Linked DNA regions of Cricetulus griseus. The protein of the gene in region 2 interacts with the protein of the main gene of each other region in a biochemical or structural test. Links are inferred from orthologs where the notes say so. Each region holds a gene or a part of one and is shown on either strand. Other genes may lie near its edges.

Region 1 (14,746 bases), on a different chromosome or scaffold from region 2:
CAGGTGGTAAGTGGTTTCAACATCCTCACCACCAATGAAGTTCACTGAACCTGACCATTTGACAGAACCGGTCTCTGCCAGGCCTCTTCACTGTAAAGCTGTTCTCTTCCCTATGCACTCAAGTGTTTATTCACAGATTGGGTTCTCATTCCTATTTAGGCATCTTGTCCCTCATTGTAGTTACACGAACTCAGTCACCACTGAATTGCTGAGTTGTATCTACATGAACACAGGGATAGACAGGCTGTAATTTTATAATCAGTATGTATTTTGATACTCTCACTGTCCATAATCTAGTGAGAGAACTGTTTGCAAAGTTGTTCCTGGGTGATTACCATTTTCTCAACATGTTCTTGCTTTCTGACATAAGACATTCCAGGCTCATCTTGCATTTATTTCTTTTTCCCAGCTATAAAATCTGCTATTTCTCCATGGAGTCCAGGTTTCTTAAAGGGGAGGAGGAATGATCATTTTCTCAAGACATATTATATTTTACACTCATATGCATTCACATGAAGACATAATATTTACATCTGGTTCTATGTTTGTTGAGTTATATCAAGACAGTGTTGTTAGCGTGCCTACACTCAAATACAACGTGGAGCACACAAAAGTCCCACACTTTTGTAGAAGAGGCAGAGAATTTCATTAATTTATATAATAATCCATGTAAGATTCAGGACACCTGACTTTTTTTTTTTTTTTTTTTTTTTTTTTTTTAAGATTTATTTATACAGTGTTCTGTCTGCATGTGTCCCTGCAGGCCAGAAGAGGGCACCAGATCTCATTACAGATGGTTGTAAGCCATCATGTGGTTGCTGGGAATTGAACTCAGGACCTCTGGAAGAGCAGCCAGTGTTCTTAACTTCTGGGCCATCTCTCCAGCCCCCGACCACCTCACATCTTAAATAGTGTCAGGGGGGGGCGGGATAGAGAGAACTCAGTCTTTGATTCTGCCTTCAGAACATAACAAAGATATCTCAAATGAAATGGGAAAAGAAGGGCTAAGAAAAAGCATCGCAGAGAAGGCAGACATGTAGAGGACTGAAAGCTGCTTTTAGAGGATTCCTTTCACTGCCTCTCCCAATGCCCTTCTGACAGAGGTTTACATTTGGGGGGTGGTTATAATTTTAGACCCATCAAAATGGAATGCTTCCTTGAAGATATGGTAGTTTTTAAAAAAAAAAAAAAAACACATTAAAGAAATATGTGACTAACCAAATGTATTACAACCAAGTAGACTGAAATATAGATGCCCTCAAAACCAGAACTGGAATATCTGAAAAGCAAAACAGTATAAAAGCATACAATCGCTACAGTATAACTTGCCAAGCATATTTATAAAGTAACTGCATACCAGTTCAGATTTGAAGTAGCCTATTGTGTTTTCATCCAATTGAAAATATCTTCTCTTCCAGTTTTTCATCTATCAGAGAAGACACAGACATAGGCTTCAAAGAATGTCCAATGTTAATCATCCCTTAATCATTCAAAATCATTCAACCCACAATCAGAAATGCCAAGCTTGCAGAAACAACACACCCTCCCCAAGGTAAGTGGTAAATGGCACCTCTCCCATCAGGCCTTGAATGACAGTCTCAGTCTTAGGCAGCTCACTTTCAAGTTTATGAATGACTCTGGTATTTCAGATTTTTTTAAAAAAACTTTATTTTTATTTTATATGCATTGGTGTTTTGCTTGCATACATGTGTGAGGATGCCAGATCCCCTGGAACTGGAGTTACAGATAGTTGTGAATGACCAAACCCAGGTCCTCTGGAAGAGTAGTCTTAACTGCTGAGCCATCTCTCCAGACCCTCAGATTTTTTTAAAATTTATTTTATATGAACGAGTTCTCTATCTCCATGTATGACTGACTTTATGCCAGAAGAAGGCATCAGTCCCCTCTAAAGATGATTATGAGCCACCATACAATTGCTGGGAATTGAACTCAGGGTCTCTGGAAGAGCAGCCAGTGCTCTTAATTGCTGAGCCTGGTATTTCTCCAACAGTGGAAAAGAAAGAGAAGGTATTCCTTTCCCTTCTTGCCAGCCCAGCCTACAAAGTAAAGATTAGTTCAGGAAATGTCATTAACCTATCAGGTTTCTCTATTCACAACATGTATTTCAAGTATTTCATATATAACAGGTCAGGAATAAATACAAAATAAAACAAACCCATACAGAAAATGTTTAATACACTTTCATATGGATATTTATGTCAATTTTTTAGTACCCAAAAGTATCTGAAAATAGTGTTGGAGAGATGGCTCAGTGGTTAAGAATGCTCTTTCAAAAGACCCAGGTTCAATTCCCTAATACTCACACAGCAGCTCATAACTGTCTCTAAGTCCACTTCCAGGGGAATCCTACACTCTTGCTGGCCTCCACTAGCACAGCACACACATGGTACACAGATGCATATTTAAGTAAATATACATACACATAAAATAAAAATATCAAAAAATTAAGGAAAAATTTGTAAATGATTATTTTTTTAAAGAATTAGGAAAAAAAGAAAAATTAAAAAAAAAAAGAATTAGGACTACAGGTTACCTCCTTAAAAGCCTAATTAGCCTACAACTAAACCTCATAGCCTGGGGAATATTCTGCCTCCACCTATAGACAGCCTATCTTGAGAAACCTCTGGTCCCACCTTCCTTTCCCTGGGACCAATGATCCAATAGGCAAGAATGTTCCCAAGCGGAGCTGCCAGAAATTGGAGAACAATCAAGCAAAATTACCAGGAGAGTTTGAAGTATTTCTTTATTCACATTTTTTTCCTTTTGTTTTCAAATGTTCAAATGTTAACTTTATCTTCTCTTGAGATTCTCAAGATTTAGTTCATACAGAATAAACTTTAGAAAAGTTGATTAAAAAACAAACACACACACACACACACACACACACACAGACACAGACACACAGAGTTGGGTGGTAGTGCTGTAGCACACCTTTAACCCAGCACCCTGAAGGCAAAGAAAGACAGATCTCTGAGTTCAAGATCAGCAGCCTAGTCTACAGAGAATTCCAGGATAGCCAGGGCTACAGGGAAACCCTGTCTCAAAAAAATCAAAACAAACAAAGGCAAACAAAAAAGCCAAGTTTGCTATATGGCCCAAGCTAACCTAGAACTTTCTTTCCTGCCCTCCTCAGTCTCCCAAATACTAGGATTATAGGTGTAAACCACAGCACCTACTAGAAAAATATCTGGAGTCTTAGAAATAGTGGTAAATGTGTTTATCTTGTAGAAATCTCCTACACTGATAATGGGGACAACCTGGACTCACCTGTGGGCTTGTTTAGCACCTGGAGCTGTGCCAAAAGCTATCCCTCATTACCTCTTTCAAAAACCATAGACCAGAGGTTTAATAAAACAGTTTCTCAACCGGGCGTTGGTGGCACACGCCTTTAATCCTAGCACTCAGGAGGCAGAGGCAGAGGCAGGCAGATCTCTGTGAGTTTGAGACCAGCCTGGTCTCCAGAGTGAGTGCCAGCATAGGCTCCAAAGCTACACAGAGAAACCCTGTCTCGAAAAAAACCAAAAACAGTCTCTCATAAAACAAAACTGGGAGCCTGGGAGATTAAATAACCCAACCTCAGAGCTGTCCTCTGGAAGCCACTTGGTCTTGTACTTCCACTTCTCCTATGGTTCCACACCTAACGATTTCTGAAGGTGTGGGAAAATAACAGAACTTTCTGGGGGTTAAGATGGCTCAGCAGGTAAAGGCAGTTGCCTGAATTTGAACCTTGGAATCCAAGTGAAGGTGAAAAGAGAGAACTGACAAAGTTGTCTTCTGATTTCAAAACATAATGAATAGCACGCATGCTCCCTTCCCTCACCCACATACACACACACACACACACACACACACACACACACACACACACACACACAAATTGAAGTTTTTAATTAAAAAACAAATGAAAAAAACCCTTGTCATGAAGCTAAACTTAGGAAAGCTCACTGCAACTAAATGTTTGTGGAAATATGCATTAACTTACCCAAATGCCCAAAAGACCACGGAAATACTATGCTTTGTGATAAACATGGAGCAACCCCTCTCACCCTTCCCAGCAACAAACTGCTCTCCACTCTGGGCCTCTCAAAAATAAAGCATACAACTTGAATTACGACTTGCAAGCTTGCTGGCACATGACCATCCCAACTTCACAGGTATGGTTAAGCTACTCACCACTGCTCCTTGTTTCACACAATACCCAGCTTTGATAACTGCACTGTCTGGAGGTGGCTTAGGAGGAAAGTAAGGAAGATGGCTTTGTGACCGTTTCAAATTGTTTCGGTCAACAATTTCACCACATTCATTTACTTCTTCTTTCTAAAACAAAGTAAAAGAAATTATTTTTTTGCTTTAAAATATACTTTCATTTAACGTTATCTTAGAAAATCTTAAAATCTGTGACATTCAATCATGACTTTCTTGTCATTGATCAAACCACAAACATCCACTTCTATAGCCTGTCTTTAGTGCTTGTCCTTGGAGTGGGGCTTTTATACTGAAATAATTTATTAAACAGATTCGCAGGAAGTTAAAATAAATATAAAAAGTAGCTGAGGTCCTATATACACTTCAACCAAATTATTCCCAATGGGGAAGTGCGTATTTCCAGAGTACCAAGTATACATAAACTTTATTCAGATTCCAATAGTTATATAGTTTGTTCCTATGTAATACTACCACATGCAGCAGCTTGTTGTGGGATATTTGTACACTGTGTGAAGATATATTGCTGTGATTCATTTAATAAAGAGCTGAACAACCAACAGCTAGAGGGACATCTGGGCAGAGAGAGGAAGTAGGAGGAGATATCGAGGCACTGGGGAGATAACAGGAGATAGGAAACAGGAAGTGAAAGACAGGAGAGAGGTAATGACACGTGATAGAATGTAGATTAATATATATTTATTATATATTATAATATATAAATGGGTTAATTTAAGTAATAAGCGGCAGTTAGGAACAAGCCTAAGTAAACTACTTAGGCTGAGCTTTCATAACTAATCATAAGTCTCCATGTTGTCATTTGTGAGTTGGTGGTCCCCAACTACAAGCTGCACAACAATCGCTATAATCAACACAAAGAACTGCTTGCTGCCACAGGGTCTGCTTGTGATGATGCCCTTGTAGTACTCCTTTCACAGCCATTCATTTGTTCCCGACATTTTGAGAATATAAACTGAAGCCCATAGTAAGGATCTTTTGAGATTATTTTTTAAAACTGTCACTCAACTCTCTGAAGGCTCATCCAGGTGGCTCTTAGTGTCAACAGTTGATCAACTATGCTGCTATATCCAGTGCTGTGGATGTACCACCATACCATGCTACTGACCACCTCCCCAATTAACAGTATGTCTTATTTCCAGCTTCTGGCTACTAGGAATGAAACTATTATAAGTATCCATATACAGGTTTTTGTATGACCATAATTACCCACTTCTTTAGAATAAATGCCTAGGAGAATACATACTAGGCTGGAGAGTAATTACAAATTTACTCAAAGATGACAACAAGAAAACTACCACACTGAATTGTTTTTTTTTTTCCCCGAATGGATGAACTATTTTACTTATATCTCCACCAGCAATGGATGAGAGGCCCAAGCATCTCTGCTAAGGTATAATCATTCACTGTATCCTTAGTTCGAATTTCTTTCTACCGGCTACAAATGGCGACCATCTCTCCTAGTGCCTATTAATACATATTTCATTTGTGGGTGAAATGTCTGTTATGATTTCTGTCTACATTTAAGGATTTTTTTTTTTTTGGTTTGCTAATTATTGGGTTTTAAGAGTTTTGTTCCTGTAGATAAAAGTCCTTGGTTGGATAAGCAGCTTGTAAACTTTTCTTCTAGTCTATCTTTTTTGTTTGTTGGCTTTTTGTTTTTCAAGACAGGGTCTCTCTGTGTAGCCCTAGCTGTAGGAATTCACTCTGTAGGGATGCTGGCCTCTAACTCAGAGACCCACCTCCCTCTGCCTCACAAGTGTTGGGATTAAAGGTGTGCACCACCACAGCTGGCTAGTCTATCTTTCCTATTCATCTTCTGAGTAGGGCCTTTCACGAACAAGTATCTGAAATACAGATGTGCAGTTATCAGTCTTTTCCTTTTATGGATAACATGCCTGATGTCAACTCTAAAGGCCTAATCCTTGACCTGCAAAATTCTCCCATGCTCAATCCTAAAAGTACTAAGTTTTTATGGGTTGTTTTGTTTTGTTTTGTCTTTGTTTTTTAAGACAGTGTTTTTCTGTGTAGCTTTGGAGCTTGTCTTGGAACTAACTCTGTAGACCAGGCTGGCCTTGAACTCACAGAGACAGAGGCCTGCCTCTGTCTCCCAAGTACTGAGATTAAAGGCGTGGGTGCCACCACTGCCCAGGCCTATGTTTTGTTTTTTTTGTTTTTGTTTTTTTTTTTTAATTCAACTTTGGCAAAAAAAAAAAAAAGTAACTCTAAACTCTCCCTAGAACAGAGATTGGTGTTACTATATACCCTTTGCAAAACATAGAAAAAGATACTCAAGTCAGTTGATAGATGTTATCAGATTTCTTTCCACTAATCACACCAACCTGACACAAGGATTGAAAAAATATGATACCTGTTAAAATTATAATGGTCTAAGCCAGGTTGTGGTAACCCACACCTTTAATTCCCAGCAAGCCAGAAGCAGAGGCACAGGCAGAGGTAGGCAGATCTCTGAGTTTGAGGCCAGCCTGGCTACATAGAGAAACCCTGTCCCTGGTCAGATTGGGGGGGCAGTATTGGGAGGGGATCAAAACAACAAAGTCTTCTAAGATCAAAAGATAAAACTAATGAGAATATCCAACACTGGCAATAGCCATCACTTTAAATTCACAACTATTACTAATTTAATTTGTATTAAAAGTACATTTCCTCATTGGAGCCATACAGAAATTAGCATGGCCTCTGGGCAAGGACGACATGCAAATTTGTGAAGCATTCCATATTTTCTTTTTTAAGACAATACAGGGGTCATAGTAAACAATAAAGTTGAGATGAAAGGTTCTGCTATCACAGGTCCAGTTGCAAAGGAATGTGTAGACTTATGGCCCAGGATTGCATCCAACACAGGCAGCACTGCATAATTCTCCAGTGTATTTGTAATATATATTTATTAAAAAATAAAAAAGCGCATTTCCTCAATAGCAATATAAGAACTTAAGTGCATATAAAAGTTTCAAGTTCATTTTTTAAATTACATAAGTTTCTTTTTACTAATACCTAGGCACATCAGTACTTTTAAGACACAATCCAGCCAGAGTTGCAGTTGTCAGGTTGTAGGTAACAACACACACACACACACACACACACACACACACACACACGCACGCACTCACGCAGGTTTGAAAAAAATTACACATATTTACAGACTCTCACCCAGCATCTGTACTTTATCTTGGTGTAGACCTGTAACCTCAGCTGCTCAGAAAATGGGGAGGGGAAGGGTGGGGAGCGGAGCGGAGCCCTCCATTTGTCTATCAGTAGAAGCTTATAAATAACCACCACAGCAGAACTCTGTAGCCATTAAAAGTAATAGAGAATAACTTCTGATGACTGATGTGAGATATGCTGCTACAAAGTCTGACATGTAACTCTATCTCCACTTCTACAGGGAGAATACAAAGAATTCAACTCAGAGAAGGAAGAGTGATTCTCTCTGTAACTTCTGATCTTTTTTACAAAAAACATACAAAAGTTTGCAAAACACTTTCAGAACAGGAAACTAAATTAAAAGCTTTTGTAGTTAATAGACATTGAATTAATTCAGTAAAGGCATCCTGTTTCAGTTTTGTTGAAAATACAAGTATCAATATGCAGTCATGAGACCTACATTTAACAGAGCACTGATTTGTTACCTGAGTTGGAGTGATGATGGGAACACCACCAACAATATCAGTTCTGTAAGACACTTGCTTCTTGCCACAGTCACCCTGACGACTCAGGCTGTCAGAAGCCGGCTGTGAGTCTGACTGCTTTGGTACCTGGAAGAGTGAGATGGATTATCTATCATGCAACCAAAATTGCAGAATTGTATTTGCAACCCTCTCCATCATCACAGCATTTTCAACTGGCTGTCTGTAGATAACTAAAAAATAATAATCTATTTGCAATATTGTGATTCAAGATCTCAGATTGTTCTGGTCTGAGAACAGTTTAGACTATAGCCATCAACACCGACTGCTGTTGCATGTGCAGCCACTACTTCATACACTTCCTCCTTTCTCCCCTAGCCAACTCTCAGCACAGTTTGAGAAGGAAGCAGGACTTAGAGGCAGCAGGGAACACAGGTTGAGATCCCTGCTTTACTACATTCTAGTCAAGTTTGTGCAATAAAATGAAATAATCACAAACAGCATCAATTACATACTGAGTATGATTTAAAGGACATTTTATTTAGGAATCCTCACACAGTCTTTCAGAAATATTATCAACAATATGAATGACAAACACAAAGGTAATGGCATAAAAATGTTTAAAATTAAGTCATTTGCCATTTGCCCATCACCTATGAACTACAGAGAAACCACTAGCACTGTAGTCAAAGGCCCTACATGTACTAATGTGATTCCATCTAAGGCAGGGAATATACATAAGACATTACCCAGGAACATCACTAACACTCTAATTCCCAGGCTCCATCCCCAAAATGAGTCTCTGGAACATTTCCCTCAAACTGCTTTCAGAAGGAACAGGTGCTTTTGAGGGACAGTATTTCACAAATTACACTTCAAGAAACCCTGCTCCACACTATGCTCTTTTTTGTACATCACATCGCACTCGCCAGATTTGGAGAAGAGCTGGTGTACAATGCAGACAAGGGATTATTTACAAAGACACTCTTTTCAAAGTACTCAATAAGCATGGGTGGCGTGTATGAGAAAATCTCAATCCAAACGTACTGATGGACATTAACTGTTCATGAGTAAGAATGGCTTATATCTTAGGTAATGTCATTTTCTCCCACTGCCTCCCTTGTCAGGCTCTCTATTGGGCTGTGGCAGCACCCTCCAGCTTCAAATGAATACTCCAAATACAATATCAATCACTGGTGGAAACAGGAGGAATAGAGAAAGGGAGCCTGGCAGTGGTGGCGCACACCTTTAATCCCAGTGCTAGGGAGGCAGAGGCAGGTGAATCTCTTTCAAGGCCAGCCTGGTCTACAGTGAGTTCCAGGACAGCCATTGCTAAACAGAGAAACTTTACCTCGAAAAACCAAAACAGAGAGGGGGACGGTGGGAGGAAGAGGAAGGGGAAAGGAGGAGGGGAAGGGAAAGGAAAGAAAGGGGAGGGAAAGGAAGGAGGTGAGCCCTGAATGCCTGTAGGATTCTAAGAGGCTACACTCTTGAGTGCTTTTTAACAGTGATTGTAAAAGTGGACAAAGTGTTAGTTGTTGGCTAAAATTAAGATACCACACCCTAAAACAATTTGCAGATGAACTCTAGCACATTTTCTAGAATCACATAATTTATTTCAGTCATTCTACAAAGTGTGGACCTGTCAAATCACTGAAATTAGAAAAGAGCTGTAAGAGAATTGGAAGCTACAGAGCTGACCTGAGACGGCTGCTCTGTGGTGACCTGCAACAGGAGCAAGCAGTGGTATCTTCCAGGTAAGGGTTCTCCTACTTGTAAGGATTTCTAAAGACAAGTTTTTCATGGAAACTTAAATACACTAACTAATATATGCTGCTTTCCCCACTGGTCTTCCAGAAACATATTAACACAAAAATTCCTTTTCTGTGCAACTGACCCACTGGTGACAACCCTTATAATAAAGTCTATACAAGCACAACTGCCCCACTCAAACTGAAGATTACAATAGAAATTATCTATATTACAATTACCTTGTTTTCAAGAAAAGTGCAAGTTAAGTATCCAGATATAAAGTTATTCCCTTAGAATTTACAGAAAATTCTTAGTGAAAGTTGAGTCAAATCCAAACTCTAAGATAAAGAACCTCCACCCCAACATACACACCCCACCTTCAAATCAGACAACTGTTAATGAGCATCAAACAGCCACTCACAGGGCAGAGGACAAATGTCAGAAATTAAATATGCTCTATTATATTGCTTCTTCCCTGCTTTTTATGTAACTATTTCTTGGGAGGGGTCTGAATGTGTTCTTAGCAGGCATTTACTATGACCGCAATAGAACGTTCCAATATTAGAAAAGAAAATAATGACTAAGGAAGGAAGATATGAGCAAAACAGACATTCATGACTAAAATAAATAAAAAGCTACAGGCTTCTCAAAAGTTACAGGGGAAATGAAATTCGGCTAACAAGGAATGAGGGCAGAGCTGGAAAACAGAACCTAAAGTGTTTGACAAATTCTTTGGCAGCAAGACCTGCAGTCCTTCCATCTGACCTGGCTGGCTGGCAAAGGCTTGGTTAACACTGCAGGGCAACAAGGGCATTCTTTAGACCAATATTCAGTTATCATTTAAAAAAAAAAGTCCCTGTGGAGTTCTGTTTAAAAGCTAATGTAGACTTTTAAATTAGACATTATGGTGGAAAAAGACATTTTAGAAATAGTGAACTTCTGCTTAGGAAAAAGCTACGGGTAACTTCATCACTTTAAACCAGTAAGGATCAAGGAACCACTACACTGATGGTAGACAATTACACATTTGAGCGCACGTCCTTAAAAAATACTTTTTCTAATATTGACCTTTTAAAAATCTTTTTGTTGAGGAGAGGCTACCTTAAATGCCCTCCCCTGTAATGAGATTGATGACTGACTTATATGCCCTCCTATACCCTTCATTCAGCAGCTGGTGGAAGTAGAAGCAGACACCCACATCTAATCACTGAACTGAACTGGAATCCAGATGCAGAGAAGGACAAGTGATGAGCAAAGGGATCCAGACCTGGCTGTGAAACCCACAGAAACAGCTGACCTGAACAATGGGGGAGCTCTTGGTCCCCAGACTGATAGCTAGGAAACCAGCATGTAACTGATCCAGACCCCATGAACGTGGGTGTCAGTGGGGAGACCTCGGAAATCTTTTTTTTTTTTTTTTCCGAGACAGGGTTTCTCTGTGGCTTTGGAGGCTGTCCTGGAACTAGCTCTTGTAGACCAGGCTGGTCTCGAACTCAAAGATATCCATCTGCCTCTGCCTCCCCAGTGCTGGGATTAAAGCTGCGCGCCACCAATGCCCAACTGGAGACCTTGGAAATCTATGGGACCTCCTGTAGTAGATCAGTACTTATCCCTAGCATAGGTGTGGACTTTGGGAGCCCATCCCACATAGAGGGATACTCTCTGAGCCAAGACACATGGGGGCGGACCTAGGCCCTATTCCAAAGGATATGATAGACTCTGATGGACCCCCCCCACCATGGAAGGCCTCACCCTCCCTGGGGAGCAGAAAGGATATGTGATAGGTAGGGTTTTAGTTGGGGGGAGAGGGTTGGTAGGGGAGGAGGGGAGGGAGAGGGAACTGGGATTGACAGGTAAAACAATACTGTTTTTAATTCAAATTAAAAAAAATCTTTTTGTTTCTTCTTTAAATATTTAGGAGAGAATTTACAATGTACACAGGGGAGGTAAGGAAAGACAGACTATAGTTGTGAGGGGCAGTGCACTAAGGTGCAACTACTACAATTGGAACACTTAACTAATCACCAGGCTCTCGGCTACAATGCTCTAACAATGTGAGGTGAAACCATACTCTGGAATACTCCAATTTTAAATTTCTGAATGTTTTAAGTGTAGAGGTTACATATACATAGTACTTAGCAGACCACTAAATTATGGTCCATCAAAATGTCATTTGGACTGAAGAGGAAAGTAAAACTACACTGTACTAAAATGGAAGTATTAATCTTTCAAAGATCCTACATATAAATCATTAGCCATTTAGATATGAAATTAGACATATCACACACCAATATACTTAAATGTGCAAAATGCCCATGAGGTTTAAACTGGTAGGACCTTTAAAAAAAATTAACAAAATATCTATTTTTAACCTACCTACCTACCTCTCTCTCTCTCTCTCTCTCTCTCTCTCTCTCTCTCTCTCTCTCTCTCTCTTTCAAAATAGGGTTTCTCTGTGTAGCCCTGGCTACCCTGGAACTCACTCTGTAGACCAGGCTGGCCTCAAACTCACAGAGATCTGCTTGCCTCTGTCTCCCAAGTGCTGAGATTAAAAACATGTGCCACGGGGCTGGAGAGATGGCTTAGGGGTTAAGAGCACTGACTGTTCTTCCAGAAGTCCTGAGTTCAATTCCAGCAACCACATGGTAGCTCACAACCATCTGTAATGGGATCTGGTGCCCTCTTCTGGCATGCACTGTATACATGATAAATAAATCTTTAAAATAACAAAACAAACAAAAAAAAACAAACATGTTCCACCACCACCTGGATCACTTTTTTTTTTTTTTATGTGTATGGGTGTTTTACCTTCATGTCTGTGTACCACCTACATGCCTGATGCCTGTGCAGGCCAGAAGAAGGTACTATATCTCCCTGCACTGGAGTTATAGACAGTTGTGAGCAGTCATGTGGGTACAGGGAACCAAACCTCCTTTGCAAGAAGAGCCAGTGCTCTTGATCACTAAGCCATCTCTCTAACCCCAACAAAATACATCTTATTAAAGCCTGTGAATTCTCTCATTTTCCTATTTTTACCTAAAAATGACTCCAGTCAAATACCAATTCTATATTCACATCACTGTATTTATAATTACTGGTTATTTCTGTTTCTAAATATGAATTATAAAATCTTAGAAATCATTATCCAGATTTACCTAAAAACAATAAAAATGTCATATAAAATAAAGGTGCAGGATACCAAGAGCTAATGAAATATTACCAGTTTCTCCTGCCTGCTGAAAAGCTTGCAATGACATGAAGAACTATTTAGTCCCACGAATAAATGAGAGGAATTCAAGGCATTCCAACTTAGTAAAATGCTGAGAACATTCATTCCATTTTCCTTTAAATCACTAAAAGAAGCCAGTTCTGCTTATTATTGTAAACTGTGAAAAACAAATTCAGGAAAGTTCTACATATGGACTTCATAAGGACATCTTCCAGGTAGGGAATATTTATTACAAGCTCAACATGATCAGCTAAAACCTTATAAGAACATAAACTTCTGAATCTGCTCAAAATACTGCTATCCTGAAACTGCACAAGCCCAAAAATAACTTCTGCTTCACATAGAGTTCAGATGTGGTATGTGGGCGTTTTCTGTCATGTGGTAACAAGCTGTTCTGCTGCAAGACAAAAAACTTGACCTAACTAAGAACAGCCTTGGTTGGCCATCTTAACTGTGCTGCTGTGTGGCATAGACACAGAACATTCACTTTAGATGAGGACTATATGCATTGATTTTCCAGGAACATGCTCTTTGGCCAAGAGTAGATCAGAACTAGTAAATAACTATACTTCACTGAAAACAAACTTTAAATGATACAACCCCACACAGGAGGAGCTCCTTCCCAACCTATTCCAGGTAGCCAACTCTTTCTAAGGAAGAAAGGTACAGCAAGGCAGTCCATGAGCTCAGCAGCAGCAACAGCAACTTGCTCAGAAAAGTTTGGCAGACTTTAGGAAGGGGCTCTATGCTCAGTGTACTGCAGAATTTAGGGTCCAACAACCAACAGGCTTGCTTAGGGATTAAAATCTCCCATCTAAAGCCTGCCTACTGGTACAGTGTAAGTAGTCAGTAAGTACTGACTGATGTTCATTTTAACCAAACAGAAGAAACGAGTTGAATAGCTGTAGTATCAGCAGGTAGGGAAGAAATAGCAGGTCCTATAACTCCAGGGAAAAGGAGCTTAGAGCCTCAGACATCCCTAGAGCACACAGGCAGGACCCTCTGGTTTCCACAGCTCTTCAGACTCAATCTCTATACCTGTGCCCTCCCTTGTTCTCCCACACCCATCTTCTCCTTTGCCAGTCATGGCATAGAAATTGGGAATGCTTGTGACCATCCCCAGAGTAAATGGTCCAAAGCCTCTCATCCTACTCTAGACTTAAAACAAAACCACAATCAGCATGCACAGTGATGTGGGTCTTTACTAAGGACACAGAGAAAGGCATTCACAGGCTGACCGTCACCATGCACAAGAAAATGGCTCACATTCAGAACTTATCTTTTAAACCAAGCTTGAATATGCAACCTGATGGTAAGCTGAAGATATTAGACACATTTTAAAATGTAAAGATTACTTCTTTACTGTAAAGGGAAAATTTTAAATACATACTTACTGTAATTTTTATAGCTTTGTTCAATACATTTACCCACTCCACTAAGTCTTGCTGATCATTGGCTTGTAGGAAGTATTTTCTCATCCCTGCATTCATAACTGTCAAAAGAAGATGTATGAAATATAGTTGTTACCTCTAAATTATGTAGAGAACAGTTGCAAAAGTCTTAGCAGATTCAACACTGCAACTCTTGGATTTCACAAAACACACTGCTTTCATCACTGAGCTACACAGGCAAAACGCTTTCACGACCAGTTTTCATTAAATGCATATACTGAAAAATAGTCAGTTCTCCAATGATGTACACTTCAATCCCAGCACTTGGGAGGCAGAGGCAGGTAGATCTCTATGAGTTCAAGGCCAGCCTGGTCTACAGACTGAGTTCCAGGACAGCCAGGGCAGTTACACAGAGAAACACGATCTCAGAGAGAGAAAAAAAAAAAGAACATCACAATGAAACATCACTTGGGCATCTTCCTCCA
Region 2 (18,260 bases):
CTGGCACTTGCTCTGGAGACCAGGCTGACCTCAAACTCACAGAGAAGGTGTGCCCCACCAACATCTGGTGCATTGGACACTTTTAATGACTGCTTCTATTTCCTTAGGGATTAGAGAGGTATTTAAGTGGTTTTCCAGATGTTAATTAACTTCAGTAAGTGGTATCTACTAGAAAATTGTCCATTTCTTTTAAATTTTCCAATTTTGTGGAATATTGGTTTTTGAAGTATCACCTAATGATCCTTTGGATTTCCTTTGTCTCTGTCATTATATGTCCCTTTTCTGATTTTGGCAATTTGTTAACCTCTGACTTTTGGTCAGTTGGGTAGGAGTTTATCTATTGTGTTGATATCCTCAAATAGCCAACTCTTTGTTTCTTTGTATTGTTCTTTTTCTTTCTATTTTATTGATTTCAGCTCCCATTTTGATTATTTCCTCCCTTCTACTTCTCTTGTGTATATTAACTTCTTTTTGTTCTACATAGTTCAAGTGTCCTGTTAAGTTGCTAGTATGAGATCACTGTAATTTCTTTATGAAGGCACTTAGTGCTGTGAACTTTCCCCTTAACACCTCTTTCATTGCATCCAATAAGTTTGTTATATATGTATTCAGCTACCTTGAATTCTAGATAGTTTTTAATTTCTTTCTTTACTTCTGTCTTGACATAGCTTTAATTTAGTGGATTTTTGTTCAGTTTCTATAAGTTTGTAGGCTGGTTTTTCTTTTGTTTTTTAAACCAACTTTAATCAATGGTGGTCACAAAGGATACAGGAGATTATTTCAGTTTTATTGTATCTGTTCAGACTTGTTTTGTGAGTGATTATGTTGTAAATTTTTGAGAATGTTCTGTGAGGTGGTGAAAAGAAGGTATATTCTTTTGGGTGTGGGTGAAATTGTCTGTAGACATCTGTTAGGTCCATTTCATTCATAGTATCTTTTAGCTCCATTGTTTCTCTATTTAGTTTTTATGTGGGTGCAACCAGGGCATTGATTCCTCCCACTATTAATGGGTGAGGTTGGATGTGTGATTTAAGCTTCAGTAATGTTTCTTTTACATATGTGTATGCCCTTTTATTTGGGGCATTGATGTTAAGATTTGAAAATCCATCTTAGTAGATTTTTCCTTGGATGAGTATGGCATGTCCTTCTTTATCTCTTTTGATTAAATTTGGTCCGGAGTCTATATTTTAGATATTAGGATAGCTACACAAATTTGCTTCTTTGGTCCATTTACTTGCAAAATATTTTTCACACTCTTTACTGTGAGGATATACTTATCTTTGACTCTGAGGTGTGTTTCTTGTATGTAGGAGAAGGATTGATTCTGTTTTCACATATAGTCTGTTAGCCTGTATCTTTTAAGTGTGGAATTGAGTCCATTGGTATTAAGAGAGATATTAATGACCAATGATTGTTACTTCCTCTTATTTTGTTGTTGTTGGTCGTTGTAGTGAGTGTGTGTGTGTGTGTGTGTGTGTGTGTGTGTGTGTGTGTGTGCCTTGTGTTTTTTCTGGTGTGATTTTATTTATTGTCTGTCTTTTTGTGGATGTAGTGAACTTCCTTTGGTTGGAGTTTTCCTTCTCGTGCCTTCTGTAGAGATGGACTTGTGATTACATATTGTATAAATTTAATTTTGTCAGGAAATATCTTGTGTTCTCCATCTATGGTGATTGAAAGTTTTGCTGGGTATGGAAGTGTAAACTAGCATTTGTGTTCCCTTAGAGCTTTTACATATCCATCCAGTCTCTTCTGGCTTTTAGAATCTCCATTTAGATGTCAGGTATAATTCTAATAGTTCTAGATTTATATGTTAAGTAGCCCTTTTTTCTTGTAGCTTCTAATCTATTTTTGATTCTGTATGCTTAGTGTTTTGTTTATAATATGACACAGTGACTTTCTTTGATGATTGGTGTTTGGAGTTTTGTAAGCTTCTTGAACCATTAGCAGGCATGCCCTTCTTTAGGTTAGGAAAATTTTGTCATCTGATTTTGTTAAATATATTTCCTGAGTTTTTGAACTGGTATTCTTCACCTTCTATTCCTATAATCCTTTTTCTTTCCTCATTCAAGATATTTATTAGGAGGTAAGAATCCAAGAGAGTGGCTGCCTCTGCCAGGGTGGAAGAAGACAGCTCCTATTCTTCTTATATTTGTTTTTTATTCATAGTGCCCTAGATTTCCTTAGTGTTTTGTGTCAGGGTAATTTAGATTTAATATTTTGTTTGCTGATAAATTTGTTTCTTTTATCATATCTTTAATACCTGAGAGTCTCTCTTCCATCTTTTATATTCTGTTGCTGTTGCTTATATCTGTAGTTCCTATTAACCAGATTTTCTATTTCCAGATTTCCATCCTTTTTTTCTTTTTGCTTCTACTTCAATTTTCTGTTCTTGAGTGTCTTCACTCACCTGTTTGTTGGATTTATTTAAAGTATTTCTTGATTTCCTCTTTAAGTCTCACTATCATCTTCATGAAGTTGTTTTTCTGTTTTAAATGCATTAGAATATTCAGGTCTTGATGTTGTAAGAAAGCTGGATTTAAAGGCAGAGTCTGTTCTTGTGTGCAATAAATTGGGAGGGGATCGTTGGAGACAGAATCTTTGGAATGGGGTAGTTCAAATAGCAGACAGTTCAACCAACTGATCTTCTGATTAGTCAAGTGATGAGTTTTTATTCATACCTTTAAGGATTAACTTTTTTCTTATTTATTTATTCATTTTAAAACAATATTTTCTTATTTTATATACCAATTCTCTCCCCTCCTCCAGCTTTCCCCATCGTCCCCCCATCCCACTCCCCATCCACTCCTCAGAGAGGTTGACTCCATGGGGAGTCAACAAAGTTTGCCACATCACTTTGAAGCTAGACCAAAACCCTCTCCACTATGTCTAGGCTGAACAAGGTATTCCTCCAAAGAGAATGGGCTTCACAAAGTCATTTCAAGTACTAGGGATAAATCCTTGTCTCACTGTCATTGGCCCCAAAGACTAGCCAAGCCTCACAACTGTCACCAAAATTCATAGGCTCTACTTTGGTCCTATGCAGGTTCCTCCAATATCAGTCCAGAGTCATTAAGCTCCCACTAGCTCAGGTCAGCTGCTTCTTTGGGTTTCTCCATCATGTTTTTGACCCCTTTTCTCATATTAACTCTCTTTCCTCTATTACACTGGACTCTGGGAGCTTGGTTCAGTGCTTAGTTGTGGATCTCTGCATCTGCTTCCATCCATTGCTGGATGATGTTTTATGATGATAATTACAGCTACTTTGGAAATCAGTAGGGAACTTTCTCAGAAAATTGGGAATCCATCTACATAAAAAAACAGCAATACCAGTCTTAGGAATATACACAAATCATGCATATTCATATCACAAGGACATTTTCTCAACTGTGTTCATAACAGCATTATTAGTAATAGCCAAGACCTGGAAAAAAACTAGGTGCTCCTCAGCCTAAGAACTGATAAAGAAAATGTGATAAATTTACACAATGGAGTACTACTCAGCAGTCAAAATAATGACATGTTGAAATTTGCAGGCCAGTGGATGGAACTAGAAAAAAAAAACATCCCAAGTGAGGTAACATAGACCCAGAAAGATGAACATTGTATGTACTCACTTATGAATGAATAGTAGACATACAGCAAAGTATAATGAGACTACATCCTACAGACCCAAGGGAATCTAGGTAGCAAGGGGGACATTAAGAAAGACATACATGTATAACCCTTGGAAGGTGAAATGGACAAGATCTGGGAGAAAGCTGGGAACATGTTAGAGGGGAGAAGGCATAGCAGAAACAGGGGAGGAAGGGAGAATGGGATGGGGAGGAGAAGATGAAGGAAAGGGATGGTGGAAACAGGAGAAAGACAGAGAGTAAGAGCAAGGAAAGGGATAACCTCATTGAGGGAGCCAATATGGAAACAGCAAGAAACCTGGCACTAGGGAAATACCCAAGAATCCACAAGGTTGACCCTACATAAAATTCTAAGCAATAGCAGAGAAGGTGACTAAACTGGCCTTCACCTGTAATCAGATTAAGGATTAACTCTTAATAAAAGCCACAAAAGTACATATTTTTATATTTTCTGTTGTAAATTTTTTATTTTAATTCACAATGAATGAAAATAAAAGAGAGAAAGAATTCATGTAGAAGTAGCAGAACCATATTCACATTTGGGAAATGAGATGATGGGTAAATGAGTTGGAAATTTATGGACATGTAGGCAAAAAGTCACAAACATCTCTTACATTCAGGGGATAGGGCAGATGGTGAGAGATGGCTGATGTAAATGATTCAGTTTATGGATACAGCTTCCTACCCTTCAACTTTCTTCCAGAATATGAAATATGCATAAATTGTTTCCTTAAAACTCAAAAGTTTGATTTGCTGGTTGCAAATTTAAGAAAATGTTCATGTGCTCACACCAAGGTCTCTGAATTGGTATTTTCATAGCTGAATTCTTGTTACACTCTGGGGAAACAGTGGTGTACATTAATAATCCAACTGTCATTATACTCAAGTATGTCCTTTTTCTAACATGTAAATTAAGGATCTGAATACAGCTTCAGCTTCCTCGTCATGTAGCTCTCAGACATCACATGGTCTCTGAAGTGCTGGGCTATAGAGGCGCTGCAGCTTAGGTCTTAAATCGCCAATATATGACTTGGTGATGCAGGAAAGGCCTCAGGTGGGGGATGCTTTTGACTGGCAGGGAGATACTGTTAGGCTACACAAGAATGTGCAACATGAAAATGAGACTATAAAAATGTTAAAATTCTTCTCAAACTATCACTGAAATAATTTTTCAGACATGAATTTTGTGGCATTTATTTTGGCAAACAAGTTAATTAACCTTTGATTCAAACTGTACAATGTTCCATTAATTGAAATATTTAAAGTTTCTTTTGCTGTCAAATATTTTTCTTCAAATTTTAAACAGCAATTGAAACAACCACAGGAGAAAAAGAGGTATTTAGTCTAAGGAAACACTTACCTTTCATAAATCTCTTATCTTTCAGGAAAGAACGGTGATGATCAGAAGGCAGACAGTAGGAGGATTTGGTTTAAGTATAAAGGTAGCCCCCTTTCCAGTCTATCTTTGCAAAGACTAAGTTTTAAAGGCTAACATTTTATGTACATTAAAATGTTGGTGGTTCATAATAATATAAAATGTCTCTGTGATGTTTGGAACACATTAAAATCTGGGATGTTCTTATAGAACATATCATTATCATGTGATGTAGATATTACAGGAAAGATCTGGGGAACTTACCTAATGTTAAGTAGAACTTGACAGCTTTCTTTATGAATCTTCCAATGATTATGAACTGTATTCATGGCAAGAAGCTTTCCTTTCTCCTCCAGCAGCATGGAAAACTGTTGAGTATAATGGGAACAATTCTCGCTGGGCATTGGTGGCAAACGTCTTTAATCCCAGCACTCAGGAGGCAGAGGCAGGCAGATCTCTGTGAGTTCAAGGCCAGCCTGGTCTTCAAAAAGAGTTCCAGGACAGCCTCCAAAGCTACAGAGAAACCCTGTCTCAGAAAACCAAAATAATAATAATAATAATGGGAACAATTCTCTATGGAACTATGGAAGAGAATTGGGAACATGTGAGACATGGATTGTAATATATATAATCTTGCTTGATTTTCACTTAGTTAAAGTGAAAATTGATAAATTCCATTTATCAATTCTAAGTTTTGAATATGATATTTAAGTTTATTGATCTGTACAGTGTTGTCTGTTTTGACTGATAAAAATGTATCATCTTGCTATTTATCATCATTGAAATGATTGAAAAAAGTGAGAGAATTGGATTAAATGTGAGTAATGAAGACTTAACCCAACAACTTTAATTGTGTAATTAATCTGACTTCCTGAATTATTAAATGAAGGTTGTTAATCACAATTATTCAGTTTGTATTTACTTACTTAGTATGTTGTTTTTGTGAAATTTTAAAGACATTTTACCCAGATCCTGTTATCTTTGTCAGGAAAGGGGCATTTTGAATTTGTGACTATCACCTATTTTCAGCTTTCTCAAAATGACTTAATAAAAATGGCAGGGTGTGGAGTGCTAAGAACCTCAATATTCAAAATATTTGTGTTAAAATAAACTTTACGTGTATTTTTCATTAACCCAGGCAAGGGGCACATACAGAATATATTACAGGATATTGAAATTAGGCCAAGAAACATGCAATTTTCTGTGTTTGTTTCAGTTAAATAGTCAATTTTAGCACACACTGAAGACATAGATTTTCTAAAGGGAAGTTATTGTCTTAATTCAGGGTAACAGAAATAAAATACTGTGTTATTCAACTGTGACAGTATTTTCAGTAGAGGAAACATTAGGCAGGTTTTGGCACACAGCTTTTCTAATTCAGCATATGATTCCTGAGTTTTAGCTGAAAAAAACTTTTAAAATATATTGGTAGAAGGGCACCAGCATGCCTGTTTGGAAAACATTATCAAACACATATTATTAGAAGTGAGAACTAGCTTTCCCTGCCCTCGAAGCTGCTCAGAGATCTGAGTGTCTCACTGTAGTGCCTACTACAGTGTTCTCACCATGCAGTGTGCAGATGCCACCCCCCGGCCTCACTGATGTTGTCCCCACAGTGCACTCTGTTTAAATTATCCATAAAGCCTTCCTTTCATAGTCCTCGGAGAATGCTGTGTGCCGATAGCCCCTTGATCTGTGGTCCCCACTGTGTAATATGTGAACAGCTTTTCCATTACATTTTTCTGCCATGGTCCCCAGCACGTACTCTTTAGAGATTACTTCTCAGATGTCCTTACTCTAGTCCTCACTCCGCAACGTGAGGATGAATCTTCAGCCCTCGCTGTTGTGGACTCCACTGTGCATTCAATGTGCATGTATCCCTTCAGCTCACCATTTTGGAGTCCATTTTCTAAATTCAATAGGCAACGATGCCAGCAACACTTTATTGTCAGTATTTTACCCAATACTTTACCAATGAACCTTAGATAGGATTGGCATATAGGTTAAATTGTTGGTACTGAGTTTGGGCCATAACAGTCTGTAACAATGCCTCTTTTTGCGTTTGGTGGAGGCTGGGGTAGACAGACCTAGGGATGGTTGGTAGGATGTATTAGGTTTAAAATGAGCTGATTAGTGGCTTTGAAGAACAACTTAAGTAAGATTTTACTTTTACTCTTATTTTCCCCTTTCTCAGCAATAAAAATAAAATACATAAAAGTTTAAAATTATAGTTGAGTACTATTTTTAAGTGATTTTCCATCTCATATCTAATTCTACTCAGCATTGGAAATGAATGCCATCAGTGAGCATGTTCTAAAATGTTGTAATTATACTGATGGGCAGCTTAGGGAGTTATTTATTCTAAGCACAGAGCACCACCAGTGACTCTAGATGGCCCCTTCAACCACCTGTGCTAAACATGTATACTCCGTCTCTACACAACACTTCACTTGTTTATATATGTCCTTGGTTTATCACCGAACACACCCAAACTTCTTACACTGTTGGGGTGAAACTGTATGATTCTAAGAATTGTTTATTTGCTTTTATAAAAATTTTGATTCCTTATTGCACTTCCTTCTTTTCATATTTGAGCCAAGGGCCGCTGTTGGATTCTTGGATGATAATTGGTTAGCCTATGCTTTTACACGCAGGAGTCTAATACTAATTAGGAAACACAGGTAGTTCTGTTCCCATCACACTTAGACATCTCATGATTTTGTTTATCCATCTGTATAGGCAGAAGGTCTCTCTGGTTATTTAGCACTCAAAATGAATTACTGAAAGAGTGTGTGTTTGCCAGAATAGAATAGTCAGAGAATTGAAATATATAAAATATCTGATGTGTGGAATCCTACATAACAAATGTCAAGATGCCTTGCTTTCCCATAATGGATTTTGAAGAGAATGTCATTACTAACATTATGAATTTTATTTGAGAAATAAAAATTTTATAGTCAGTTATTACTAATTATTAAATGTCATTACAAAACCACTAAATACTACACCAGGAAGTGGTGGCGCTCACCTTTAATCCCAACACTCGGGAGGCAGAGGCAGGCAGATCTCTGTGAGTTCAAGACGAGCCTGGTCTATAAGGGCTAGTTCCAGGACAGCCTCCAAAGCCACAGAGAAACCCTGTCTTGAAAAACCAACCAACCAACCAACCAACCAACAAAAACCCATTACTTATCCAAGCTTCATGGACAAGCTTATTTAAAAGAAATTCTACAAATTTATTTCAATTCTGCTTAGTATTCATTAGATGCAATATTTATAGCTTGCAGTTTTTGTTTATTTGTTATTTTTAAATTTTTTGGCTAAAAGCTGACTTAAAAATATGATGTATGACTGTCTCTTTCTAGGGAGGTGCAGAACATAACATTCCAGTTGTCATTTCCAAAATCTCCAAGGAGCAAAGAGGTAATGTGCTTAGCTAACCCTGAAGTGGTCAGTCCTCTGTAATCCCACGCTCACTAACTGGTATCGATGTGGCTCCCCTGGATTCCAAGCCTCATATAGTGAGAAGTCAAATCTGGTTCTTCAGTTTCCCTTGTTCCTCCTACAGAACAGAAAGGGAAAATGATGGATTCACATAGTTCAAATGGCCATGTATTAATTGACCATATGTGAAATGACACAATTAAGACACATCTGAACTGTTGGTTAAAGATCGAAAAATGAAGACACATTTAGTGGACAAATCCATATTCGATAGATTTCTCAATTTTACTCACTTCATATGAGGCTTCATCTAAAAACTATCACAGATAAATCAAGTGTTTATTGGCAATTATCAAGAAAACAGCAAAGTAATAGAACAGAGCATAGAACAGACAGATGGAAAGTCTAAATCTGAGGTATTTGCATGGAGATATTATACTGTAAATGCACTAAGAAAAGTGACCAAATGTGAATGAATATGCATACATAATATGTATATATTACACAGGCATGCACACTCACTCACACACACTCACACTCACACACTCATACACTCACACACACACTCACACACACACACACACTCACACACACTCACACACTCACACACACACCACACACACACTCACACACACTCACACTCACACACTCACACACTCACACTCACACACTCACACACTCACACACTCACACACTCACACACACTCACACACTCACACGCACTCACACACACTCTCACACACACACTCAGACACACTCACACACTCACACACACTCACACACACACTCACACACACACACTCACACACACTCTCACACACACACACTCACACACACTCACACACTCACACACACACCACACACACACACACACACACACTCACACACACACACTCACACACACACACACACACACACACACACACACACACACACACTCACACACACACACACACACACTCACACACACACTCACACACACACACACACTCACACACACACTCACACACACACACACACTCACACACACACACACACACTCACACACACACACACACACACTCACACACACACACATCACACACACACTCACACACACACACACACACACTCACACACACACACACACACACTCACACACACACACACACACACACTCACACACACACACACACTCACACACACACACCACACACACACTCACACACACACACACACGTCTTAGAAAACTGTTAATAACATGCCTTGATCACATTCATACTCATTCTTCCAACTTTCCAAGATGTAGTTACACTTCCAGAATGTATCATCTGAAAAGTCAAACATGCTAAACTGGAAAGCCTCACATCCAAAAGTATTTGGGCCACACTAATTGGCATTTTTGAAAAAGGAAAAAAGTCACAAAGTTGGGAGGGGACTGACCATGTTTTAATAACTGTAAGGTTATAAATTTCTAGAACCAAAAAGAAATGTCTGCCTATTCCAGCAACTGAAAAAAAATCATATTAATACTTTGAGTTTACATTGTGTGTGACCCTATGAAATACTAACCATAGAAAAGACATAGCTTGTTTACAGTTTTAACCTTAAGACAAAACATCTTTATTTATTTGACAAATGCCAAGGTGTATTCAATTTTTTTTCTTATTCACAGCGGAGCTGTCAGGACTGCTTTTCATCGGAGATGCAATTCTACAGGTATATATCTCATTATTGTCTTTATAGATGCAAACAAAAGCCAATTTACAGTACACTACTTGAAACTAAGTATTTTCTTTCATTGCAGATAAATGGGATTAATGTGAGGAAATACAGACATGAAGAAGTGGTGAGTTTACTTTTTTCTAATGCTATCATATCTCAAATTCAATTTAATTATGAAAGTACAAAATAATGTAGCATATTACCAATTCTAAGTGTCTTTCAACCAATTTTTACTCTTAAAATACACTTAGAAGTACTATCATGATGAAATGTATTTCAAATTGAAGTATACATGTAATTTTTTCAAATGCTTGAAGGTTTATGAGAAAAGTATTGATTTCTGTAAATTTTTAAATGGCATTGGGGCAATTGGCAATGTGTTCTGTAAGTGTGTGTGTGTGTGTGTGTGTGTGTGTGTGTGTGTAGAGAAAGGTGTAAAAAGGAGAAGGAATTGATGAAGAGACAAAGGGTAGATTTACCCACATTTTCATTATGGCAGTTTCTTGCATGATTTTACATGTGTTGGGGCATATACAAACATTCTAATTTAATACAGCTGGGACATGGAAGCTGAGTTTCAGCTACATTTATAAACAGTTAAACAGTAAATTTCTTCTAATCCATACTTCCATAGATAGGTTAGTCTCTATTGCAGATAATGAAATGGCATTATAAAACTTAATCAAAGTGGTAGACATCTGGGGAAATGTTGGTCACAATTAAATAAATACCATTGAGTTCTTACTGAAAGAGATAAAGAAAACTACATTTAAAATACGCTCAAGGATCAAAAAGCAGTTATTCTGATGACTTATACATTTAAAATCTCAGCAGGGAAGCTGCAAATATCTATGTAAAATTTCCATTTCACAAGTAGTGCTATTGCAGAGAGCTGGGTATCATGGTCTGCTGGTGTTTACCAATAATTTTGTAGTTACAAAAGCATATTGAGGTCATCTTTTAGACACTCTTTGTTGAAAATCCTGTAGAAGTCTTCAATTTCCTTTGAATATGTGCAGGGAAAACACATTGAACAACAGAAAAACCAGTGTGACACCACCAGAATCTAGGGACTCTACACAAGCAAGACCTGAACATCCCAACACAGATGAAGCAGAAAAGAATGACCTTAAAAAAGGTCTTCATGAAAATGATAGAGGGCCTCAAAGAGGATATGAAAAAAAATCCCTTAATGAAAGGGAGAAAAAAAATACCAGAAACCAACAAATCCCTTAAGGAAAGCCAAGAAAATACAATTGAACAACTGAAGGAAACAATTCAGACAGTTCAAGACCTGAAAACTGATATAGAGACAATAAAGAAAACAGAACCTGGAAGCATCCTAGATTCCTCTCAACTGAAGAATGGATAGAGAAAATGTGTTACATTTATACAACAGAGTACTACTCAGCGGGAAAAAAATGGAATCTTGAAATTTGCAGGCAAATGGATGGAATTAGAAGAAACCATTCTGACTGAGGTAATCCAGTCACAAAAAGACAAACATTGAATGTACTCATACATGGATTTTAGAGATAGAGCAAAGGATTACCAGCCTACAATCTACACTGCCAGAGAAGCTAGGAAACAAGGAGGGCCCTAAGAGAGACATTTTTTCACTGAGAAAATGCTTTCCAGTCATATGATTTTAAGGGGTTGGAAGGCCTTCAACACTGTTCTCAAATTAAACTCTCTTTTGTCAAATTAATTTACATTTTCACAAGATTCAATCTTTCATGGCATCTTGCCCCAGGACACCATTTCTTTCATATTGGTGAAAAGTTCTCTGAAGTGGGAAATTACCAATACAGACTCAGGTAGAAATATAGGGGCATTTAATAGGGAAAAGCCTCACTTACAGAGCGACCTAGCCAGCCGGCGTGGCAGCAGTCTGTACCGCAAGTACCAAAGTGAAACCGAAACAGAAACACAGTCCCCTGAAAGCCACATTCTACGTCACCCTGACCATGCCCTCGAAAGCGTGGTCAGGAACACCTGTAGCCAGCCCCTAAGTAGGCGTGGCTACAGCTTCCCCTACAATTCCCCTTTTAGTCTAAAAGAGGATTAAAACTTAACAGTGTAAAGTATCCAAAATTAACAATCATAAAGGTAAAATATAAGAAGATATGTCACATCCTAACTATCTATTTTAACTAAACTCTAAAGTAATCTGAGAGAAATGTCCAGGCCTGAACACCTCCTTCCAAATCCAACCATAAACAATAGGAAGCTATCCCTAACTAGGTATATACACTATCCTAAGTGACAACAATGGGGGAAGGGGGCATAGCATCCTCCAAGTTACTTCCTGCTGAAATGGGATGATGATGGTCATGTGGTGTAGGAAGAAAATGTTAGTGTAGTGAAAGTCGTGAGTGAATTGTATCCAGTCCATGATACATGGGATTCACTTGATTGAAGATCTCGCTTGAAATCCTTAACTTGATTGAAGTCAGTACCCGAACCTCTGGCCGGAGTGTCCATTGAAATGGAGTAAGCTGGATCTAGTGCAGTCGAGGAGGTGTGGCCCATTTTTTTTCTAGGGTGTCTAGGGATTGCTGTCAGGCAGGTCTTTATTGGCTGTGTGGAACTCAAACATAAACAGTTAGTAGAGAAATGTTTGTTTGTGTATGTACACATGCTGGGGAATGTAACCATGAGAGCATAACAATTATGAGAGGGTGTACACCTTGAGAGAAAGATCCAAGAAAAGACAAGACAGTCCCCAAATTCTTTTTTTATTTTGTATTATATCAATTGGCTTCTTGATACAACACAGAAACACTAAAGTTTAGTTAAATAACGTGCTTGGATTTTAGAGGAGGAAAGCCAAATCCACCTCTAAACCCAGCATTGGTTAATTGAATAGGGACTAGGAAATAAAAAGAAATAGAGTTTTTTTGAGAGACAGCTGTAAAGTTTACCGTATGGCACATTCCTTCTATTTGATGGTTATAGCTACCATTTTTTTTAAAGTATCTACCCATGTAGTGTCCTTTGTCTTCTGAAGATGAGTTTTTCTGTGAAGATAAAAGTAAAACACTTCCCTTTCCTTTGTGAGGTTTCTATTTAGTTTATAAGATAGACCTTAGTAGAATACCTGTCATTTGTCCTCGTCGAGAGGTTTGTTCTTTTTTACTCGAATCTTGATCAACTTTGATGGTATCTAAAGTTTTTTTTCTCCTGTGGAAACCAATGTAAAACCCCAACCCCAACGTAGCACATGTCCTGGTTTCCATTTAGAAGTTGGTGCATCTTTGAAGTATACCGGCTGATTGAGTTTAGTAGTTTTTTTCATAGTCTAGTGTCTTTCTGTAGTTGTTTGTCCTTTTTTATTGGCATTAAGAAAGTTTAGTGTTAATAAAGCATTATGTAACCTATGTTTGGGGGGTTTAGTCTTTTAAGCTTGCTTGTTGAGTATCTCCTTAAATGTTCTATTAGATTGCTCAACACTGCTTGTTCTGTAGGATTGTGTGGTATACCAGTAACATGTTTTATGTTATAATATTTGAAAAATTTTTCTAATTTTGTAGAGACATATGTTGGAGCATTGTTAGTTTTTGTTTGTGTAGGTATACCCATAACTGCCATCATCTTTAGGAGGTGTGTAAGAACAGAATCAGCTTTTTTAGAGTTAAGAGCAGTAGCCGATTGGAACCCTGAGAATATGTCTATAGTATGATGTACATATTTCAAGTTTCTAAACTCTGTAAAGAGAAAGACATCCATCTGTCAAAACTCATTTTTCCAAATGCCCTTAGAATTACAACCTGCTGGCAATGGAGTTTGACTATAAAAGGAACAAGTAGGACAGTTTCTCACTATCTCCTTGGCTTGTTGCCAAGTGATAGAGAAGTCCGTTTTCAAACCTTTGCTATTTACATGATGTTTCTTATGAAATTCTGAGGCTTCTAGCACACTTCCAATTAATAAATGATCAATCTCATCATTGCCGTGTGCTAGTGGGCCTGGCAGACCCGTATGGGATCTGATATGTGGAATGTATATAGGATTACTTCTGTTTCTGATAGTTTCCTGTAATTGTAAAAACAGAAAAGTTAATTCTGTATTATCAGGAACAAATTCTGCAGTCTCAATGTGTAACACGACTCTCTCTGCAAATTGGGAATCAGTAACTATATTAAGAGGTTCTGTAAAATCCTTAAGTACCATGAGAATTGCATATAATTCTGCCTTCTGTACAGATGTATATGGACTTTGAACTACTTTACTTACCTCACCTGCTTTATAACCTGCCTTACCTGATTTGTTGGCATCAGTGTAGAAGGTAAGAACTCCAGAAATGGGAGTTTGTCTTACAATACGTGGAAGAATCCAGACTGTCTTTTTTATGAATTTAATTCTGTCAGTTTGGGGACAGTTGTTGCTAATTGTCCCCAAAAAGTCAGTAAGAGCTATTTGCCAATATTCATTATCCTTCCACAAGGAGGAAATTTCTTCATTAGTTAAAGGTACTATAATTTCTGCTGGATCTTTTCCAGTCAGCTGACAAAGTCTTAATTTACCCTTTAAAATCAAATCAGAAATCTTTTCTATATATGTCTTTAACCTTTTATTCTGTTTATGTGGCAGAAATATCCATTCCAATATAGTGTCTTCCCTTTGCATCAGAATTCCAGAAGGGTATTCTCTGGATGGCAAGATAGCCAGAATACAGTCTAAATCAAGGTTTATCCGATCTACATGCGCATCCAATATTCTGTTTTCTACCCATTGTAACTCTTTTTCTGCTTCAGCAGATAATATTCTCAGACTGTTTAGGTCCTTATCACCTTTAAGGGCCATTTTTAAATGCTTTAAGTCATGTCCTTCTACACCAATAATTGTCTGTAATTGAGAAATTTCCCCTAATAATTTCTGAAGAGAATTAAGAGTTTGATAATGATCTCTCCTAATTTGTACCTTTTGAGGTCTGATTCTTTGTAAGTCTATCTTGTAGCCTAAATAGTTAATAGAATCTCCTCTTTGTATCTTTTTTGGGGCAATCTGTAACCCCCAATGGGGCAGAACTTCCTTCACCATTTCAAACATACGTTCCAAAGTTTCCTTATTAGAATCTGAAAAAAGAATATCATCCATGTAATGATAAACAAGAGATTGTGAAAATTTCTTATGAATTATTTCCAAAGGTTGCTGTACAAAGTGTTGACATAAAGTAGGACAATTTAGCATTCCTTGTGGCAAAACCCTCCACTGATATCTCCTAACTGGCTGTGAATTATTAAGAGTTGGTAAAGTAAATGTAAATTTTTCTCTATCATTTTCCTGTAACGGTATTGTGAAAAAACAGTCTTTTAGATCAATGACTATGATAGGCCATCCTTTAGGTATTAAGGAAGGTAATGGCATTCCTTAATTAGCAATTCTCTGCCAATAACAAGCATAAACATTTATGAATATTTCTGGGCCAGGTGGGCAGATAAGATCTGACAAAATCAGGAACCTCATGTCTCAGAGGGGACATTACTTGTAAAATGTCTGTGTAAACTTTAGTCTCAAAGGGGACATGACTTGTGACATGTCCTGGCACTGCTGAATAGGCTGTGAGGGCTAATGCAGTAAGGGGCTGTGTTTTCTAAGATGGGAGAAGGAGTGTTTGTATGTAAAATTACAGTCATGTGGATTGTTGAGCTAGAAGTTTGTAATTGGTAACTGTAGGCACCAAGGAGGTGAAGAGATAATGTATCTCTGTGCTTTCTACATACTGGCTTTTGCTTTTCCAGCAGCTGGAAACACAGCATTTGTAACTGGCAATAGCTGTGTAAGGAAAATGTGTAGCATTTGATCTCTATTAACATTTTTACCAAATGTCAGCTGATTAAAGGGAACTTCTCTGTACTATATCGAAGGGAAAAAGCTAAGGCTATATAGTGTGCAATATGGAAACTGTGGCTTCCAGCCTTAGGGTAAGCAGTGAGCACTCTTACAGCTGATGTCCCAGTGAAAAAGAGTTCCTTTCTCTGAGGCCTATTTGAAAATACAAAGCACGCAGTATATATTCTATATATCAAGATTATACAACCCAATGAAATCATCCTTCTTATTTCCCACAGACGTATGTACCAAGTAGATGTAATATTTTCATGAGATTAAACACACACAAGCTGTGGGACAGATCAAGAGGTATTCTTAGGGAACAGTTGAAGCAACTCATGAGAGAAATTACAGACAAGAGAAACCTGTGGTAGGTCAGCCTGTTAAATCTTAATTATCCTGTTGTATTTCTCATGGCCCTTGACATAAAAGGGTTCTCTTTCATATGTGGAGTGTGTGTATGTTTATAGAGAGGTCACATGAAAGTATGAAAGGGGTCTTATTATATCATCTCTCATATTCTCTCTTGAACATACATTTAACAACACATATAAGACATGAAAGTTGAAGACACCATCTTGGGAAAGACAGGGCAATGAGAAGAAAAAGGAGTGATGAAGGTTGGAGTGAGCATGACTACAAATGTTTAGGTACAATCACATATACATATGAAATGTAATGGAACACATTTTGTGTGATTAATAAAAATACCAAGAAAAAAACTAATCATATATGTGTGCAATGCCTGACATTGTGATTGCATGCTAATGCCCACATACACTTCATTCATTTCTGTCAGCCAGCTATGATAATTCTCCTACCTCCACAGCCTTAGCATAACCTGGCATTTATCATCTTTAGAAACTGTAAAAGAATTATAGTAGTATTTGCCTTTTCCTAATAATAGTCACACTGTTAACTTTTTATGACTTAGATTGTTACTCTATGTTCTGATCTCTCCAAGGCCTTTATCATGAAGGAATGTTGGATTTTGTCAAAGGCTTTTTCAGCATCTAGTGAGATGATTATGTGGCTTTTCTTTTTCAGCTTGTTTCTGCTCTTATTCATTATTTATTACAGACTTGTACTTAATTTTGTTAATTCAATATTGGGTAAACTTAATTTTTCAACATGATTAATTGTACAAATTCAGTTTTTATTGGTAAGTAATGTTATATACACAAATTTAGCATCTCCTGATCAAGATATAGTATCTTTACATATTTCGGCATTTTATTTATTTAAAGGCAAATAAGAACATTCACATATGTGCATGCCTATCCCTGGTTTTTCCCCTGGTGATTCAGTTTTCCTTATCACCAAGCACTATTATCCTCTTCTTTATTCTAGAAATAATTCTACTTATGTCATTTTTTTCTGTTCTATGAATTCTGTTTTAATTTTTTATAATATAATTTGACATTTCTTTGCTGAATGTTTATGATATTTCAAGTGAATTCACACAATTGTAATTTCTTGTCAGGTATTATAAAGTTTATTTTATGTTTCTTGTCCTACAATTCCAAAATTTTGCGTACTTTGTCACAAGTTGGTTGTTGCATTCTCTTTTAAATTGTTTTTTGCTTAAGTAATTTTTATTTCATCTTTACCAGATTTAAAAATTGTGTTACATATTTTTAATAAAGATTCTACATTAGTTTCCTATGTTTCTTTTTAAATAAGGGATTCACTGCTAAATTCACAGGTATGGCTATTCATTCTTTTAAACTATGTAGTAAAGAATTTATTTACAACATTCTGTTCTAGTTGATATATCTTTTTTTTTCACTAGAAATCCCACTGTTCTCTGCTTGCTTGTCCTAAAGAAGCAAAAGAGCTTTCTAGAGCCACCTCCTGGTATCACTAATTTGGAAAGGGATCCTTTACTTGGAGGTTTCCAGTCAGTTAGCTATTACAGAGGATCGGGGATCCAGTTGATGGGAATGGTGGGCCTTATCATCCTAGGCTTTTCTTCATGGTTGGATTTCTGGAGTGCCAGTATTAGAAACTCTGATCTGTGTTCTGATTGCACAGCCTCTCTATTCGGGATAAAGAACTTACAAAACCATAGAAAATTCCTAACAGGAAGGAAATTGTCTGCATGCCTAAGAGCAATGTATGTCTTAATTCTACATGTGGTTTACATCAAAGTTGATAATCATATCCATGTTTGTGTGATATGCTCCAACTACATTGTGACTTACACATCTCTGGCTCTGCTTTCCTTTCATCTCTTTCTTGAATTGGTTTTCCATTGATTACTTTTTGTT

The links.
Region 1: the proteins of Sntg1 (region 2) and Plekha1 form a complex in vitro, tested with the Homo sapiens proteins (2 studies listed by BioGRID and IntAct, with this or other methods). The link is inferred for Cricetulus griseus from reciprocal best matches to the Homo sapiens genes SNTG1 and PLEKHA1.

The regions. Positions count from the first base shown.
Region 1 is NC_048596.1:69,920,820-69,935,565, forward strand, and holds part of Plekha1 (pleckstrin homology domain-containing family A member 1), read right to left. Parts: intron 14,363-14,746; coding exon 14,265-14,362; intron 8,019-14,264; coding exon 7,893-8,018; intron 6,988-7,892; exon of another isoform or gene 6,887-6,987; intron 4,339-6,886; coding exon 4,195-4,338; intron 1,427-4,194; coding exon 1,358-1,426; intron 1-1,357. UniProt on the Homo sapiens protein: Binds specifically to phosphatidylinositol 3,4-diphosphate (PtdIns3,4P2), but not to other phosphoinositides. May recruit other proteins to the plasma membrane.
Region 2 is NC_048595.1:235,596,567-235,614,826, reverse strand, and holds part of Sntg1 (gamma-1-syntrophin), read left to right. Parts: intron 1-5,017; coding exon 5,018-5,074; intron 5,075-8,372; coding exon 8,373-8,430; intron 8,431-10,105; coding exon 10,106-10,149; intron 10,150-10,237; coding exon 10,238-10,279; intron 10,280-18,260. UniProt on the Homo sapiens protein: Adapter protein that binds to and probably organizes the subcellular localization of a variety of proteins. May link various receptors to the actin cytoskeleton and the dystrophin glycoprotein complex.